Tamandua tetradactyla: one gene and its partner. The protein of the gene in region 2 interacts with the protein of the main gene of each other region in a biochemical or structural test. Links are inferred from orthologs where the notes say so. Each region holds a gene or a part of one and is shown on either strand. Other genes may lie near its edges.

Region 1 (7,936 bases), on a different chromosome or scaffold from region 2:
GTCCCTAATATGTTCAAACTAAAACAAATCTTCCATTTGTTTCTAGGAATACCAGAATTAAGTATAGATCTATTTCTTTAGTCTAACTCCTGCCAACATTAAATATCACCATAATTACACTTCTTTATGAATGTTTTTTTAAAACACAATCAAACCAATCTTACTCAATCTTACTTAGTGATTTGTGACTTTGTTTACAGGAAGAAAAGGGTGAGGAGAATGTCTCAAAGGGCTCACCTAACTCTGAAAACTACTACCCCAAAATGAATATTGAACTCTAGCAATACAACATATAGCAGAGCTTCCCTAGCATTACAAGTGTGCTGGTGTATTTATTTCCCTGATTCCTGGTGTTTGGGGTGGGGGTGGGGGACTGGAGCTGTGAGACCAGGTGCTTTCAGGCCTCTAATAAACCAATTCATCTTAGTGTGTTATTCAAAAATTATTTTTTATGTGTGGCATGACCTGAAAAATGGTTGGAAAGCACTGATACAGTGCATTAAGGCAGTCACAACCTCACCTTCTAAGATACATACTTTCCAATAAGAAATCAAGTCTACCCTTGACTTGGTTTATTCCATACTTATCAATTCAAATAATCAAATCCCATGTTACATTTGTATCATATGCATATGTTTTTAAAAGACAATTCCTCTTACAGCTTAAATACCCTCTTCTTTAGCAGCAGTAATACCTGGTGTGGGTGAGACAAAGAAATGTAGTAGCTTTTTAGTTAAGGATATGATCAACACAGCATTCCACATTATACCATACTTTTTCCTAAGACCCTAACCAAAATTCCAAAAATACCCATTTCCTAACCCACTTTCATGCTTAATTTTTCTCCATAGCATTTACCACCTTCTAATATGACACAATCTAAATTCAAATATTTTATTGTCTGTCCCCCTGACTAGAGCATCTCGTCAGTTTTTATTCACTGCTGTATCCCCAAGCACCTAGATGAGTGCTAGACATACAGAAAGCCCTAAAAAAATAATTGCTGAGTGAATCAATAAATTTAGTAATTTGGTTGGAGCTTTATGTGTAATTTAGTTTGTTTTGAAGAGTTAAACTTTGCTCTTAAAGTTTTAATAAAACTTTTTTGTTCATCAAAGACAGAACTGTACACAAAAAGCTCACACACAGAAATAAGTGTTTCAGAAAGCTTGTTTATCTGTATTAAAATATGCGAGGATACTACCAGAAAACAAATAAAAGAGAAAGACTTGATTTTATTTTAATTAAAATAGAAAGGGTCAGTTTTCCATTCCTCTAATCAGAAGACAGTAAGGAATAAAGAAAGGTGATAAAACAGTCCAACGTTTGGGACATAGAAAAAATGCAATAATGCACTGGCAAGTTATTTTTCCCATTGCTTAAGTGCCCATATAAAATTCAAGATAATCAACATTAGGTTCTGTGTCAACTCATTTTTTCTCTTAAAAACTGTAATCTTAGAAAATCTAACCAGTTATCCCTTGAGTTACCAACCCTATATACTAAGCTCTCCTGTCAAATACAATCAACACTGTTATGAATTTTAACCTTAAATTTTTAGTCTTATAACGAATGTTTTAATCTTAATGCAAATAATCTTAAATTGGTTATGCAGCCCATCTACTGCTCAACTTAGAAGCGTTCCATAGTTCCTTTTTTAGCTTCAAATGATGAAACTTCTCTAACGTCTCTGGGGAGATAGTGTATGTTTCCTGAAATTGTGTTCATTTTTTCCTTGCACTTTTTTGCAACATCTCTTCAACCAGAAATGTTATATACAATTTCTTCTCTGTTCTGAAGTGCAACGGAAGGAGCAAAGGTAAAGAATAGAAAACATACTGAAAAGGAATAAAAGCAATAAAGTAAATATGAAATGAGGTCTACACAAAGAGGAAGAAGTTGCAAAAAAGAGAGAAGAAAAACACTGCTTTAGCCAAGAAAAGCAGGGGGAAAAACTAAGGAGTAGAGAGACTTGCTTATTCTTTTGAAACAAACAAAAAAATCCTTCTAAGAAAACTGTGATCTCCTTCTTCATTTAGGGAACGTTTTTAAAACTCTAAAAAGCATTCGGTGGACAGCCCTAAAAGGAATTCTACCTTCTCTTCCCATACGTTTTGACACCACTCATCTTAATCTATGAAACAAATGCAGGCTACAGATAATGCAGGCAAATCTCTACAAAACTACAACTGTGGTTGCCATCTTTGCCTGGAAACCCAAACTCCTCTTTGGGTTTGGAAAAAAAAGAGTAAATTAAGTTTGAAAGCCAAAAAAAAAAAAAAAAAACAAAAACCACGCACTGCCAAGACAGATAAAATACAGGTTAACAATCTCCTACCAAACCAAAGGTTCCACTAAAAGTCTGGGGAAAAGGGCAAAGGGCTGTATAGCCTTACCGCGACCGCAAGGGTGGGGCATCGCAGGGGAAAAAAAATTATTCTAGGGCAAGCTATCCCAAGAGGTATAATAAAAGGGGCTAGTGACTCCCCGCCCTCGGGAAGATCGCAAATTAGGAAGCCAAAGAAGTTAATGGAACCAAGGGCAGCTTTGGGGATAAGGGAGTGAGAAAGTGGACGGCAGGAGTGTAGTATCAGTGTGAATGCAGAGACAGAGAGAAGAGGGTACCCAGCCGGCAAGGGATTACACGGGAGGAGAGCTGAGGAGCCGAGCAGTCAGGGAGTCCTGGCGTGGGAGGCCTGAGCCGAGGCCGCAAAGCCCAGTGAGCAAGCAGCCGCCTTCTGCGGGAACGCCTTTTCAGTTCCCTCAGTCTCAGCCCTTCTCAGGGCTGCCGCTGCCCAGGCGACAACGGCGAGAACAGCTGTTTCCGCCCGGCTGGGAACCGCGAAGGAAAAGGCATCTCTTGGGTGGGCAGGCCGGCGGTCGACTCAGACCATTTGTGTTGTGGGGGTGAGGGAGGAGGCGATTCCAAGACCACAGCCGCAATGCAAACGCCAAACTTCGCCGTTTCCTCCCCTAGCCCTTCTTCATCCCCCAACTTCCCGGCCGGCTGGTGTCCGCTTCGACCGACCGAGATACCCCCTCCGCCCTCCTCTCGTTGCTTCTCACTCCTCCCCGAAGCTGGGGAAAGACCGGCCATAAGGGCCGCTCCCGAGCCGCACGGATACTCCTCAAGCCCTGGGCGGCACCCTGGGCCGAAGGCTCACACCCTCTCCGCGGCTCCTTCGCCCGCCCAGATGCAGCAAACTCCTCTTACCTGCATTGACGCCATGATGGAACCATCCCCCCCAGGGCCGGCGAGGCCTGAGACGCAGGGGGCGGAGCTGCCGTGCTCGCGTCACGCCGCGGGGGCCCAGCATCCTGGGCTCGGGGGTGTGTGGCCTCCAATGGGGAGGAGACGGAGCGACCGGATTGGTTGGTGCGGGGGCACCCAGAGGGGCGAGGGAGGGGAAGGGCGGGGGCGGAAAAGGGTGAGAAGGGGAGGGCAGGGGCGGGGCGCGGTAAACGGCGTTGTAGGTGCTGAAGATTGCTGCCGGCTAGTCGGCGTCCGCTCTAGTCCACCCCTAGCCAGAGCGCTGAAGAAGCGTACACCGGCTTCTGGCCCGCCAAGCCGTGGTATTGCTTTTTCCGTCTATGCCCCGAGATCTTGGTGATGAGCGGATCGGTGGGTTTTTCTGATTCGTTTAGTTTTTCCAACCACAGGTGTAAGATTTACAGGTTTTCCCCCTTGAATGTCTTTCCACTCCGTTGATACCGCTGGGCTTGATAGAACTCTCTGCGGGTCTGCTTTTTTTTTTTTTTTTCCTTGACCAACCTGGAAGGCTTCTCATATTCCTAATTTGGGAAAGAGACACAGAATAGAGAGCAGAGATAACACCCTGATGTTTTAAAGGCAAAGATATTTTGCATTTGTAAAAGTAAAACGACAGAGAGGCGAGAAAAATATGCAGTTTTTCTTCTGTTCGTGTGTGATTTCCACTCCCGTACCCCACCCCCTCAGTTTTAAAGTGCATATGTATCCATAGCTAGGGTTGCTATGGCAGTTTGCCTAGAGATTTGGCCCTGGGCGTGAAAATATATATATGTGTGCATATACCAGCGTCTAGGTATAATATGCACTTAGACCTGTCGCATCCGGAATTTTCTCTCAACCTAACTTTCATGGTAGTCCAATCTAGGAATGTGTTGGGTAGGGAACGTGTACATAATTTATTCTAGGAATGCTCCAGTTCTGCCAACATTTATGAGAAGCCACGTTTTGAAGCGCTATCCCAAAACTGAAGTGTCACTGATTTGTAAGAGGAAAGTGGAAGCAAAAGGCTTATACCTCGTGTTCTATCGCTAAAAAATTAAGGTGGCTGATAACATTTTTTTAGAAGGCTTTTTACCAGAATGAAAGTTTGAAGTCTGTTATTTTGAGTCGCTTTTTTGAAATTTCTGTAATTTAAAATCCAAATATAAGAGCAGTGTAGAATGTCATCCTCTGCACTCTTTCAAATGGATTATGTTCTGTAGTTTGAAATGTGTTCAAAAACGAAAAAAAATCTTTAAAATATACCACACCTTCTATGGTATAATATTAAACCCACAGTGTTCTTCATCGTTGGAAAGGTTTATTGGTGTACTCATTTGTCTGTCAGATTTCCACCCTATGATCAGAAATGGTCTGGGTTTTCCTTTGTTGCACAAAAAAAATGTGTCATTGAGAATGTTTGGATGCTTTTGACACCCAGGAATCATCCAGGAACATATCAAGTGTTAAGCCAATTACTTTGTTAACATTACAACAGTGAGTAAAACCTACATGCCAATGAAAGAGGAAAGCCCCGTGGAAAAAGTCCCCAGGTGTGTTTTCTTCTAGAATTCTTCATCCCCATGTTCTCAGAGAATTGCTCTGGAAGATCAGGTTTTACCATCTGAGGTTCACTTTGTTTAAAAGCTGATTCTTTAAAAAAAAGCTGATTCTTCCTAAAGCTTTAAGTGACATCAGATGACTCCACAAACAAAGCATTATGGCATCATCAAAGCCAACAACCTGCCATGACAGGTATTAATAAGGAAGAAAAGAGGCTACTGGAATCCTACTCTTTATAGTAGAACCAACATCTGGTTCCGTGGGGGGTTTTTTTGGTTTTTTTTTTTTTTTGGTTGCTTGGGTTTTATATGTGTTAGAACAACCTTCAAAGGGGAAGAAAAGTCAGTATCAGTCATATCCTTGCTAGCAAATACTAAATAGCACATGATTACCTGCAATATCTTCATTCCCTCATCAACATAATAGAAAGGTCCTTATGCACACAGGAGCTAAAAAACATGACTTTCAGATGGAAGAGAGGTATATAATTATCCCCAGGGAGCATGAATTTTTTATATTTATGTAGTGCATCTCATTGGTTATATAATGCATTTCACTTCTTGACAGAGCGGGACTTAATATCAGGCAAAAATGAAAATGTCTGACAAACTAAAAATGAGAAAGGAAGTGGAACTATCATAAACTCTGTAGGAAATATATTGGTACAGTCACTTTAAAAAAACAATTCAGCAATAGGGAAGTTGAAGTTTCCACTGTCCTTAAAGAATCTTTTTAATAGCATCATGTTTCAGTTTGCTAAATCTGCCAGAGTGCGATATGCCAGAAATGGATTGGCTTTTACAAAGGGGATTTATTAGGTTACGAATTTACAGTTCTAAGGCCATGAAAATGTCCTTCCAGAGAAAGATAACTTGACTCTGAAGAAAGGCCTATGGCATCCGGGGTTCCTCTGTGACATGGGAAGGCACATGGCAATGTCTGCTGGTCTCTCTCTCCAAAATGTCTCTGATAGCTTCTGTCTGTCCTTGCTTGCCCTTCCCAGGGCATTTCTGTCTCTGAGCGCTCTCCAAAATGTTTTTGCCTTTTACTTTCCTATAAAGGAAGTGGTAAAGATGATTAAGACCCATCTTGAATTGGGGGGGTCACATCTCCATGGAAACAACCTAATCAAAAGGTCCCACTCAACAACAAGTCTGCACCCACAAGGATGGATTAAAAGAACATAGGCTTTTCTGGCAACAAATTCAAACCAGCATACATCATTTGTGATACAAGCCAACTATAAAGAGACATTTTTGAGACAACTGAGGAAATGTTAGCTCAGAATGGATATTACATGATATTAAAGAATTGTTATTTTTCTTAGATTTGATAATGACATTTTAAAAAAAATTTCCGTGGCAATTAGAAATGACCATCAGGTTGCATGAATAGGATTTTCCTTCGTCTCACACATTGCTTCTGCCTCCACCTCCCTGGAAGGAAAAAAAAGGCAGGATATGCACAGTAGTAACATTGTGAGACCACTGGGTAAATGCTGCAATATTGATGATGCAGTGCAATTTATGAGTGCTTGAATTGTGGTGATTCACTGGACTGGAGAGTCTGGGGCAGTGCTTTGAGGATGTGCTTGTTGGAGCATGAAGAGTCAGAGTTGATGAGTCCCTGCTTGAGTGTATATCTCCGCAGAGTAGTTTATTCATAGTCCTCTAGTTTATGATCTTACCAGAGAAATGGAGGCATTCAGCAATCAACAGCTTATTTATTGGATGCTGGAAAAGGCACTAAACTTAATATTGTGATATTTAATTTTTTATTTCTGATCTTTTGAGTGTTCTATATTTTGAAAATGCATGTATAATCCTTTTAATAATAACAAAATTATTTCAAAATGACAAAAAAAAAAAAGAAAAAAAGTCACCAAACTAATCCAAGTCTCATATTTTTTGCCCCAGATCTATCATCAACAAGCTTGGGTAAGGCTCTTTCTGGGTTTATTTCTTTATCAATAAAATTAGCAAGTCAGACAAGTCAGACTGCATAATCTTTAAGGTTCCTTCCATATTTCAAATTCCATGTATCTATTAAAGGGAATAAAAATTTTAAATGATTTCTGTACAAAATACCATGCTAAAGAAGTCTGAGAGAAAATGCAATCGGAATGATATACTGTTTTGAGTTTTTAAAAAAACCTTTTGTAAATGATAAGGAATGAATTTTGCTTCATTGTAATTTATGTAGAAATATTGGTGGGGGGGTTTAGTTAACAATTTTTTAATATTAATATATTCCAATTGAGCCTCTAGATGAGATTTCATAAAGTAGCAAAAATTCCAAATTCACTATTTATAATGACACTTTAAGAAAAGCATGTCTGCAAAGCATTTGTATTATTTTTTATAATTTTGAACCAAAGCCGGTCATATGACTCTCCCAATAAAAGATGAAGAAAATTAACAAAATAACAAATGGTTTGTATGTGTAACTTAATCTGACTTATTCTCCATGTGAAAATAGTTTATTTACATGCATGCATGGGTTTGGAGATAAAATTGTGAATCAGGAGGACTTCACTTTCTCCCCTTTCCTTACCTCTCTCTAGGAAGAGTTCTTGACCCAGACCTGCAGCCGTTAGCATATTCCTTGCTTATTTCTCCCCCAGACTTCTTTCCAGACATATTCTTAGCGATGTATTAGTTGAATAGCTGTACAGTAGTTCCTTTTGCTTTTTTTCTTTCTGCTCTGGACCCCATTAAAATCAGGTGAAAGCCATGGACCCACCCATCTGCCCCCACACGCACCCCCACAGAAAACTATGTATTATCAGTGAAATGTATTTCAGGGAGTTCCTTGGCCTGATGAAGTTCCTCCATAGCAGAGGTTCGAGAACCTCAAGAACATTTTTAGGGAAAAGTTAACAATGGATGCTAGGTCGGTCTCTTCCAAAACCTGTCTATCTTTTATGTAGAAATAGTAATTTCATAATACTCTTTTTCTTTTTGCTTGCTTGTTTGATTTCTAGTGAAGACAGGATACTGTGTGAAAAGCTCTGATTTGGGAGGCAGAAAGTTAAGTGTTTGCCTTGGCCCTGCCTAGGTGTTGCTAAACATATTTAACCACAGCTGTGGTCAGCTGCCAACGTTTCAGAACAAGGGCTCGGTC
Region 2 (8,544 bases):
AGTCCTGGATAATCATTAGATATAGAAAAACTAAAAAGAGTAGTTAAATCTAAAAGGTTAACCCTTCGTGAAAAGATAGTCCAGAAACAAAATCTGTCCTACAAAGCGAGACAGGAAACAGATTGGCCATCTTCTTAGCTCTGTGATGAAAGTAAAACAAATCATCCCTGGAAAATCCATAACCAGAAACCTGCCATCACTTGAATTCTGGGACTGAATTCACATTATAAGATTCTAAAATCCTCAAGCAACTAATTTAGTTTAAAATGCTACTGGACTACTGGTGCTGCCAGACCATAAAAGAAGCAAATGCAATAAGTACACTAAAAGACCTGAAGATATTACACAGCATCCAGCACAAAAGTGAACTTCTCTCCTGCCTCCTATTTCCCATTGGCTAATATTCACTCCACAGGGACCTGACTCCCCACATTTTTTTGGTCATATCATTTGGGCCCATGATAGCTGCTAAGAAATCTGATCCTATGCCCTGTAGTGTGATGTTTCATCCAAGTTCCAGTATATGTGTATGTAGTGATGGCCCAGCACCAGCAGATGCTAAGAATAAAAGATAGGGTCAAGAGACTCTGAAATGGCAAATAAGACTGGTGTCCAATACAGATCACCCTGAAAAAGAGGGATGAAGGGAAATCTTTCCAATGGGAAGAGCTTTCAAGCAAATGATTATTCCCTTCAGATCTATATATAAACTGATAACCTGACAATTTTGAACAGATAGGATTATCTGAGATTGATGATAAAGAGGTATGGGGAGAAGTATGTGTTGAACTTCTAGAAAACAGTCCAGAGTACAAAAATATGTTTGTCCCATGTGAATACCTACCAAAAAGTATCCAATGCAGAGAAGGCAATCTATCAGGTAGATAGATGATCAGCTTCTGTCCCAGCCACCTGTTGCTTGTTCAATGGACTCAGGTACAAGCATCCAAATCAGTAGTGGAAAAAGATAAGCCTTGGTGAGGTAAAGTCTATGCTATTTACCTCAGATACATCCTCTATCCCTGCTGCTATAGATACCTGAATATGAAAAGTCAACTCTGAGCCCAACTTTTCACTATTTCTAGGAGGGTGTAGATAATCTTCTAGTGGAAGATTAGTTATATTGAACCAAAAGAAATTTGTTGTTATGAAATAGGTATATATTCCAAAGACAGTTTTATTTTTCCCATCTATAATGCTTCTGCCAGCACCACCACTTTTAGACTTACACAATCAGGGTACCCCAAGCATACTTACAACTGATTTTACAGACAAAGAATTCTGATATTGGGCTTGCTGTATGGAATGCACTGGTTTTACAGTGTATCCCATCAGCCAGAAGCAGCTGGCCCAATGAAACTGTGGAATGGCCTGCTGAAGGCTCAGCTATGGCACCAATTTGGAAACCCCACCCTGTAAGAATGATGGCGATTCCTATACATTCTGGTACATGCTTAAAATCAGCAAGCAATATGTGGTAACTTTTTGAAACGTATATCCAATATGTACACATTGGTCAAAGAATCAAGGGAAGGAGGTGAAAGTGGCCCGTGTTTCTATCACATTAATAACTCATTTACAAAAAACGGATTAAAAATTTAAAAATAGGGGTGACAAAGGTTAAAATAAATTGACTAGATGGAAATACTAGTGGTCAATGAGAGGGAGGGATAAGGGGTATTGTCTGTATGGGTTTTTTCTTTTTTCTTATTTGTTTTTCTGGAGTGATGCAAATGTTCAAAAAATGATCATGGTGATGAACAAGCAACTATGTGATGATATTGTAAACCATTAATTGTTCACCATGCGTATTAGTTACGGTTCTCTAGAGAAACAGAATCAACAGGAAACATTCACAAATATAAAATTTATAAAAGTGTCTCACAAACCACGGGAATGCGGAGTCCAAAATCTGCAGGGCAGGCTGTGAAGCTGACGATTCCAATGGAGGGTCTGGACAAACTCCACAGGAGAGGCTTGCCAACTGAAACAGGAACAGAGCCTGTCTCTTCTGAATCCTCCTTAAAAGACTTCCAGTGATTAGATCAAGCATCAGTCATTGCAGAAGACACTCCCCTTGGCTGATTACAAATGGAATTAGCTGTGGATGCAGCTGACGTGATCATGACCTAATCCTATGAAATGTCCTCATTGCAACAGACAGGCCGGCGCTTGCCCAACCAGACAAACAGGTACCACCACCTGGCCAAGTTGACACATGAACCTGACCATGACACCATGTATGGAATGTTCGTATGTTAAGTTTTACCAATTAACATATTTTTTAAAATTTAAAAAGTAACTCATTTACAGAATATTTCCTTTTAGTCTCCACAACATAGTACTCTGCCGGTTTGTAGGTCCCTAGTAAATAACAGAGAAGCCCTTCCACTAGGGAAAGCAAACCTGATTGCAATCATTGGAATCTGCCACTGTTCCCTGCCTATTTGGAGTTTCTTAAACCACTGATGACAGAGTAGAGGGTTCCTACAAACTGACTGGAATGACATCCCTACTATCAAGGAAAACTTGGGTTGCTGGTACACAGTGGGGCAAGGAGGACTGGCTGGACCTATAACCCAAGGTATATGGTGAAGAGATTCTTATTCTCATCAAGTAACAATGGTCAGTGTGCTAAAGACAACGTGTGCTAATGCGATAAGGCAAGAACATGAAGGATACTGCTCCTTCAAGACCAGAGATTCACGTGCCATGTTAAGAACAAACTGAAGTACTGGCAGTGACAAGAATTTGGAACGGGTGGTATAAGAAAAGCTATTATTATCAACTTTGCCTTAATCTCCACCTTGGTAATGGGTATAAGATCAGTGTTTAAAAGTTTGTTAAAGTTTATCTGGGCAACAAACTACTCCAGAATCCAGGAGCACCAACCCAAAAGTGGCAAATAGCTCCAAGAAGGGAGCGGAAATTGGGAACCTATATACAGTAAGTCTTTCTGATTTGATAGCTAGGCTACATTGCCTTATTTGAGCTGTTCCCGATGGAATGCCCCACCCTAAGGTGACTATTTCTGATTGGCTGGCTTTACTGCCCTGCCTACCACTGACTTTATGTTGAAAGGCTGCCCCTCCCAAGTTTCCATCATGTTACTTGGGTTTGTGGATAAGGTATTGGCCAAGGCTACTCCGCCTCTATTTTATTTTAGTAAGATGATAACATCTGTTTTGCCAGTTGATTTGTGTGCATAGTATTGAACAAGCACCAAAATAAACCTGTGGTGTATATATTAATATCCCTGCTTAATAGATGAATAAGCTGAAGCTCAGAATAATGAGCACCCAGGAAATAAATAGCAAGATCAGCACTGAACTCACATCTGCTCTATTTTGAGCCCTAAGCTCTTTTCATACACCTCCCAACAGTGGTTTACTCAATTCCTGCAGGAAATCACAAAGAATGCATTGAGGTGAAGCAGAATCATTTTGTGAGTGTCTGCAAATTCAAATACTGGTCGCTTTTTCTTTTTTTTTTTTTTTAACTCTTTCATTCTGCTTGAACACTAGATGTCACTTGAGAGCCTTTCACTTATACATTCTCTTACAAACAGAACTGGAAAATTTAAAGCATGAAGTGTTTTTAGGATTCCTAAATCTATTGTACAGATGAAGAGAAGCTTCACTGATGTTTTTACCTTACGTTATACAGCGACAAAACACACACACACACAGAATGAACTGGAAGAAATTTAGAATTCTTCTAATCTCACCATTTCCTCACCTTCTTTTCTACTTCCTCATCTGCAGTTTGTGACCACACCCTAACCAACCCTCCCTGCAGCCTCTGCTTCAACTGCCAGGGCAGCCAGTTATCTCTGGGCTGTCACTAAAATGAGGATCTTTTCTAGACTGTTAACTCTAGTGCACTTTTGCTTACTACGTCACTCAAGCAAGTCACTCCACTCAGCTTCATTGTCCTCCCTGAATATGAGAATAATAATCCTCACTTGCTAAATTGTTGTGTAAACTACAAAATATACCTGCTTCCTGAGCCACCGTGGCTCGCCCTCAAAGTTCTCCCCTGCCATGCTGGAGACCTGGGTTCAATTCCTGGTGCCTGACCATGCAAAAAAAAAAAATATATATATATATATATATATATAACCTGCTAAAATCCCTACCTCGGTGACAAGAACACGGTGGTCCTCAATACATGTTAGTTTTCTTCTTGCCACTCACTGGTATGATATCTGCTTGGCAGTTGGGCAGAATAAATCTCTTACCCCAGATGTTGAAAGAATATCATGTTTTGGGAAAAGGAATTCATTTATGGAAGCAGGAAGCAGGTAGTGGTATATAACAGGGAGTGCCAGGCCCTTTTAGGAGCAGCACCCAGATGCAGACACAGCATTTATATACAGGAAGGTGACCAGTGCCAAAGAAAGCACATTTGGGTAGATTTATTAATTTATCACCAAGTCTTCTTTCCCAGACAGCCAAACTGTATAACCAAATCTGCTTTCCACGGTACCCGACCCTTTTCCTATCCCCCCAGCTCAGACCATAGGAATCCACAGAAGTTAGTGTCTCTAATGCTCACTGGAAGGAAGACAGTAGAAACCACGTCAGATCGGCCTTTCTGGGTGCCCAGCTCCTGCCTTACAGCCGAGTAGGGGACAGTTTCCCCCCAGAGCAGCTTATGACACTGCTCTAGAGTGTGCAGTTGCACTGGAGGGAAGAGGGCCCATAAGCCACAGGAAGAGAGTAATTGCAGACCTCGGAATTGGGAGGGAAACAGCCTCAGTTGCACAGAGCTGGGAGGGGGAAATGTGAGAGGGGCCCCTAAATTAAATTAATGGGAACGAGCTTGCACATAGGATGAACTGCTGCTGAACTTTCTCCAAGAAGCCTGAATCTGGCATTGTCAGAAACCTTCTTACGTTCTCCCCCGGCCCAACTCCTTTCACTTCCCTACCTTCCCTTCTTCACTCCTCCTCCTGCCCCGCCCCTCTCCGTTTCCATCTCCTCCCCGCCCATTTCTCCGCCCACACTCCTCCCCTGGGTTTTTTTTTTTTTTTTTTTCTGACTTGCCGCTTAGAGGAAATCGAAAGTGAAATTGATAAGCGCCTGCCGTCCAGTGACTACCCTGTTAAAGTGAGTTAATTTGGCCAGATTAAGGTGCCCGACCCTCCCTGGGGGCTGTTCTCCCTCCCCTTACCCAGATTTGAAGATTCTCTTCCAACCCGAGAGCCTTCTATCCGAATTGTCCTTTCTCTGCTCCTGACTTGATTGGACCCAAGCCCAGAACTTATTCCCATGCTGGACAGTGAGTATGATTTGTACCAGGAAGAAGCTGGGGCTACCCTGATGCTGACGCCAGATCTGGGAGGGGGCAGGTGAGGGTGGAAGAGCTGGGTCCTAGTCTAGCCTGCCGGGCGGCTGGGGAAACCCAGCATGAGGTATGGAGCCTTCCTTGAAGCTGAATGTTTTTTCCTCCCATCCCCCCACTTGCTCCTTGCTGGTTCAAGACCGAGCTGGCCTATACCCAAATGAAGACAGGAAGGTTTGCAGTTGCTCAGAGGAGTCCCTGTCAGGAGCCCCTGCCTGCTCCTCCTCACACCCTCAGTACACCCAGGGGCCACCCCTTCCCCAGCAGCTCAGGGGACACTCCACATCCCTGTTCCTCAATAGCAAAATCCCTAAATTTCTTCCTCCTCTATGTATATGACTCCTGCCATTATTGTAATGATTAATGAAGATGTATGCAAAGCGTGGAGCACATTCTCTGGCACACGGAGGATGGAAGGGCCATAGTAAATGGTATCTGTTATAATGATGAGCTTCTCAGCAAAATGGAGGGCTGGTGGGATAGGAGAAGATGGATAGAAAAAGCCTGAGCACTGAAGGGAATCTTTATAATAAATCACCACAAGAATTTCCAAAGTGACAGTTGGTGGAAATGGTCCTTGTGTGAAGCTGGAGACCCCATGGCCTGAGCCCCATACTTCAGCAACCCCTTCCTGGACCTCCCCGCCAACCAAATACCTAGTGGGCACACCTCAAATAGAGAAGGTGATATAATTAAATGAGTTCATCCCTCAGCCCCAGGCTGGGCACATAGTAAACCATCAGGAGTTGTTTTTTTGTTTATTTTATTTTACATAGGCAGGCACTGGGAATCAAACCCGGGTCCTCTGGCATGGCAGGCAAGCATTCTTGCCTGCTGAACCACCGTGGCCCACCCTTGTTTTGTTTTGTTTCACCTTCTTTATCATTCCATTTGAAGGACTTAAGCAACGATAGACATGGTGAAAGAATTTTAAACAGCTTTATCTTTGAGGTTCTAGACAATTTCCTCTCCCTCTTTTGTGGACTCAGTTTCCCCTTCTTTCTAACTATATCAACAGACCAGACTATGGAGGAGTCTTTGTTATTTAGGTTGTTCTCATCTTTCCTATTTTCACCCCCTCCAGTTCACTCCCCCTTATAGTTTCCTTTGAATCATTTTTATTTCCCATAACCCCTCTCTTCTTTCCTTTTTTTTTGTCTCCCCAATAGTCCCAAACAAGATCTCTGTGCTGCTGCTTAGCAGGGACGTTACCTCCATGGCCTCAGCAAAGCCCCTGGCAATGATGTGGGAAGAGGTCACGTGCCCTATCTGCCTCGATCCCCTAGCAGAACCTGTGAGCATTGAGTGCGGCCACAACTTCTGCGAAGAATGCATCTCTGAGGTGGGGAGAAACGGAGGCGCTGCCTGTCCCGTGTGCCGGAAGAAATTCCTGCTCAGGAACCTCCGGCCTAACAGGCAGCTAGCCAACGTGGTGGACAACCTCCGGCAGATCAACGTAGATGCCAAGGAGGGCACAAAGGGGGACCACTGCGAGGTACATGGAGAGAAACTTCACCTGTTCTGTGAGGGAGACAGGAAAGCCCTTTGCTGGGTGTGTGCCGAGTCCCGGAAACACCGCGATCACCCCAAGATCCCTATTGAAGAGGCTGCTCAGGATTACCGGGTAAGGCATTCACCTGGAGGCATGGACAGATGGGAAGGAGACGCTCCCCAGAGCAGGGGATGAACAAGAAGTACCCCTGGAGTTGACTGGTTGGGGAAAGGAAGGTTATTCCATGCCTAATATACCAGGGGAAATGCAAACTAAGCACAATCTTCTCAGTCCCCAGGAACAGGGACTGTGCTATGGAAAAATGCTGCAAGAATCACGTTTCCTTGTGGCTTCCCGGTTAATTAGGAACTAGTAACGCCTCCGCCCCCGCCCCCACCCCCGCCCCCACCCCCGTGACTCCAACAGTGTAGCTCTATTCCGCAAGCAAAGATCAGGCTTTTGCTCAAGTCCTTCCATCTGCAGAACTCCTACCCCACTCAGACTCTAGTACCCAGGCCTTTCTAAGAACCAATCTGAACCTCCGCATCCCACAGCGCCCCCCCTACACTTCCTGGTCTGTTTGGGGACTAACTTGCTGTCTTCCTCTCCAGGAGAAGCTCCAGGACGCTTTAGAGAAGCTGAGGAAAGAGCAGGAGTTGACTGAGAAGTTGGAAGTGGATGTTGCGAATAAGAGAACAGCCTGGAAGGCAAGAATCATGCCCTAAAACGGACCTGAGATTAGAAGCCTGGCAGGATCTAAGATCCTGGGCTCAGTAAGGCCCTAAGCACAGCTGTCTGAACAGTGACAGAGTAGGGATACGTCACTCTACAAAAACCAACCATCCTCAACTGGTGGAGGTAAAAAAGACAGAGGCTAGAAGCAGAGGCCTAATCAGACACAAATCTTGACAGTTCATGGGAGACTATGCTGAGGAGGACAAGTCATACCCCAAAGACCCCTGCACCTCTGAGCCCAGTCCCTGGCAAAGGGGTGCGTGTGAGAGGGTAGCACCGCTGCCTCTCACTGACAGAGGTATCTCAGAAGAAAAGCCCAACAGCTATGCTTCTTTTTTTTTTTCTCTCTCCAAATCGGAGTAGATATTTTAATGAAAGCAATGGTCCTGCCATTCTTTATTTCTCATAATACATATTTACAGAAAAGACTGTCCGTTTTAAATTTTTATAATTATACAACTTTTTGCAGTTGAATCAAACAATGGACATCTCAGTAACTTTTTAAAGCAGCTTCAATGTATGTGTACAACTTATGTGATGGACATTGAATAATTGGAGTAAGTTCATTTTCAAAATGAGCACCTGGAAAAAGTAATGAAGCAACTTCATTGATGACAGGATCTCTTGGGAGAGTTGATTTAAGACCTTATCTTGACCATAAATCCACAATCAATCCAACCTTTCAAACTTCATTTTAGAAATGGGTGGGAAAATAGGTGAAAGGCTCTGACTGGGCACAATTTTCTACGTAGAGTTACAGTGGCTTTTGAGTTACTTGTATTTCTGTGATTGCACATATCCTGCAAGATTATACTGATGCTGAACTATTTTGATACAGTATTACCATCTGTGGGACATTTCTAGAAAATTGCTCCTACATGTAATTTTCTTTATTGGTCCATATAAACACATGCATTTACTGATTTATAGAGATACATACTTCCTACTTCTGGATTTAATTTGACTTCTCT

Evidence for each region. The genes of interacting proteins can lie anywhere in the genome.
Region 1: the proteins of TRIM21 (region 2) and UBE2W are reported together in a solved structure, tested with the Homo sapiens proteins (2 studies listed by BioGRID, with this or other methods). The link is inferred for Tamandua tetradactyla from reciprocal best matches to the Homo sapiens genes TRIM21 and UBE2W.

Annotation. Positions count from the first base shown.
Region 1 is NC_135332.1:117,669,461-117,677,396, forward strand, and holds the start of UBE2W (ubiquitin-conjugating enzyme E2 W), read right to left. Parts: upstream 3,350-7,936; 5' UTR 3,230-3,349; coding exon 3,215-3,229; intron 1-3,214. UniProt on the Homo sapiens protein: Accepts ubiquitin from the E1 complex and catalyzes its covalent attachment to other proteins.
Region 2 is NC_135334.1:75,425,957-75,434,500, reverse strand, and holds the start of TRIM21 (E3 ubiquitin-protein ligase TRIM21), read left to right. Parts: upstream 1-5,068; 5' UTR 5,069-5,273; coding exon 5,274-5,283; intron 5,284-6,515; coding exon 6,516-6,970; intron 6,971-7,449; coding exon 7,450-7,545; intron 7,546-8,544. UniProt on the Homo sapiens protein: E3 ubiquitin-protein ligase whose activity is dependent on E2 enzymes, UBE2D1, UBE2D2, UBE2E1 and UBE2E2.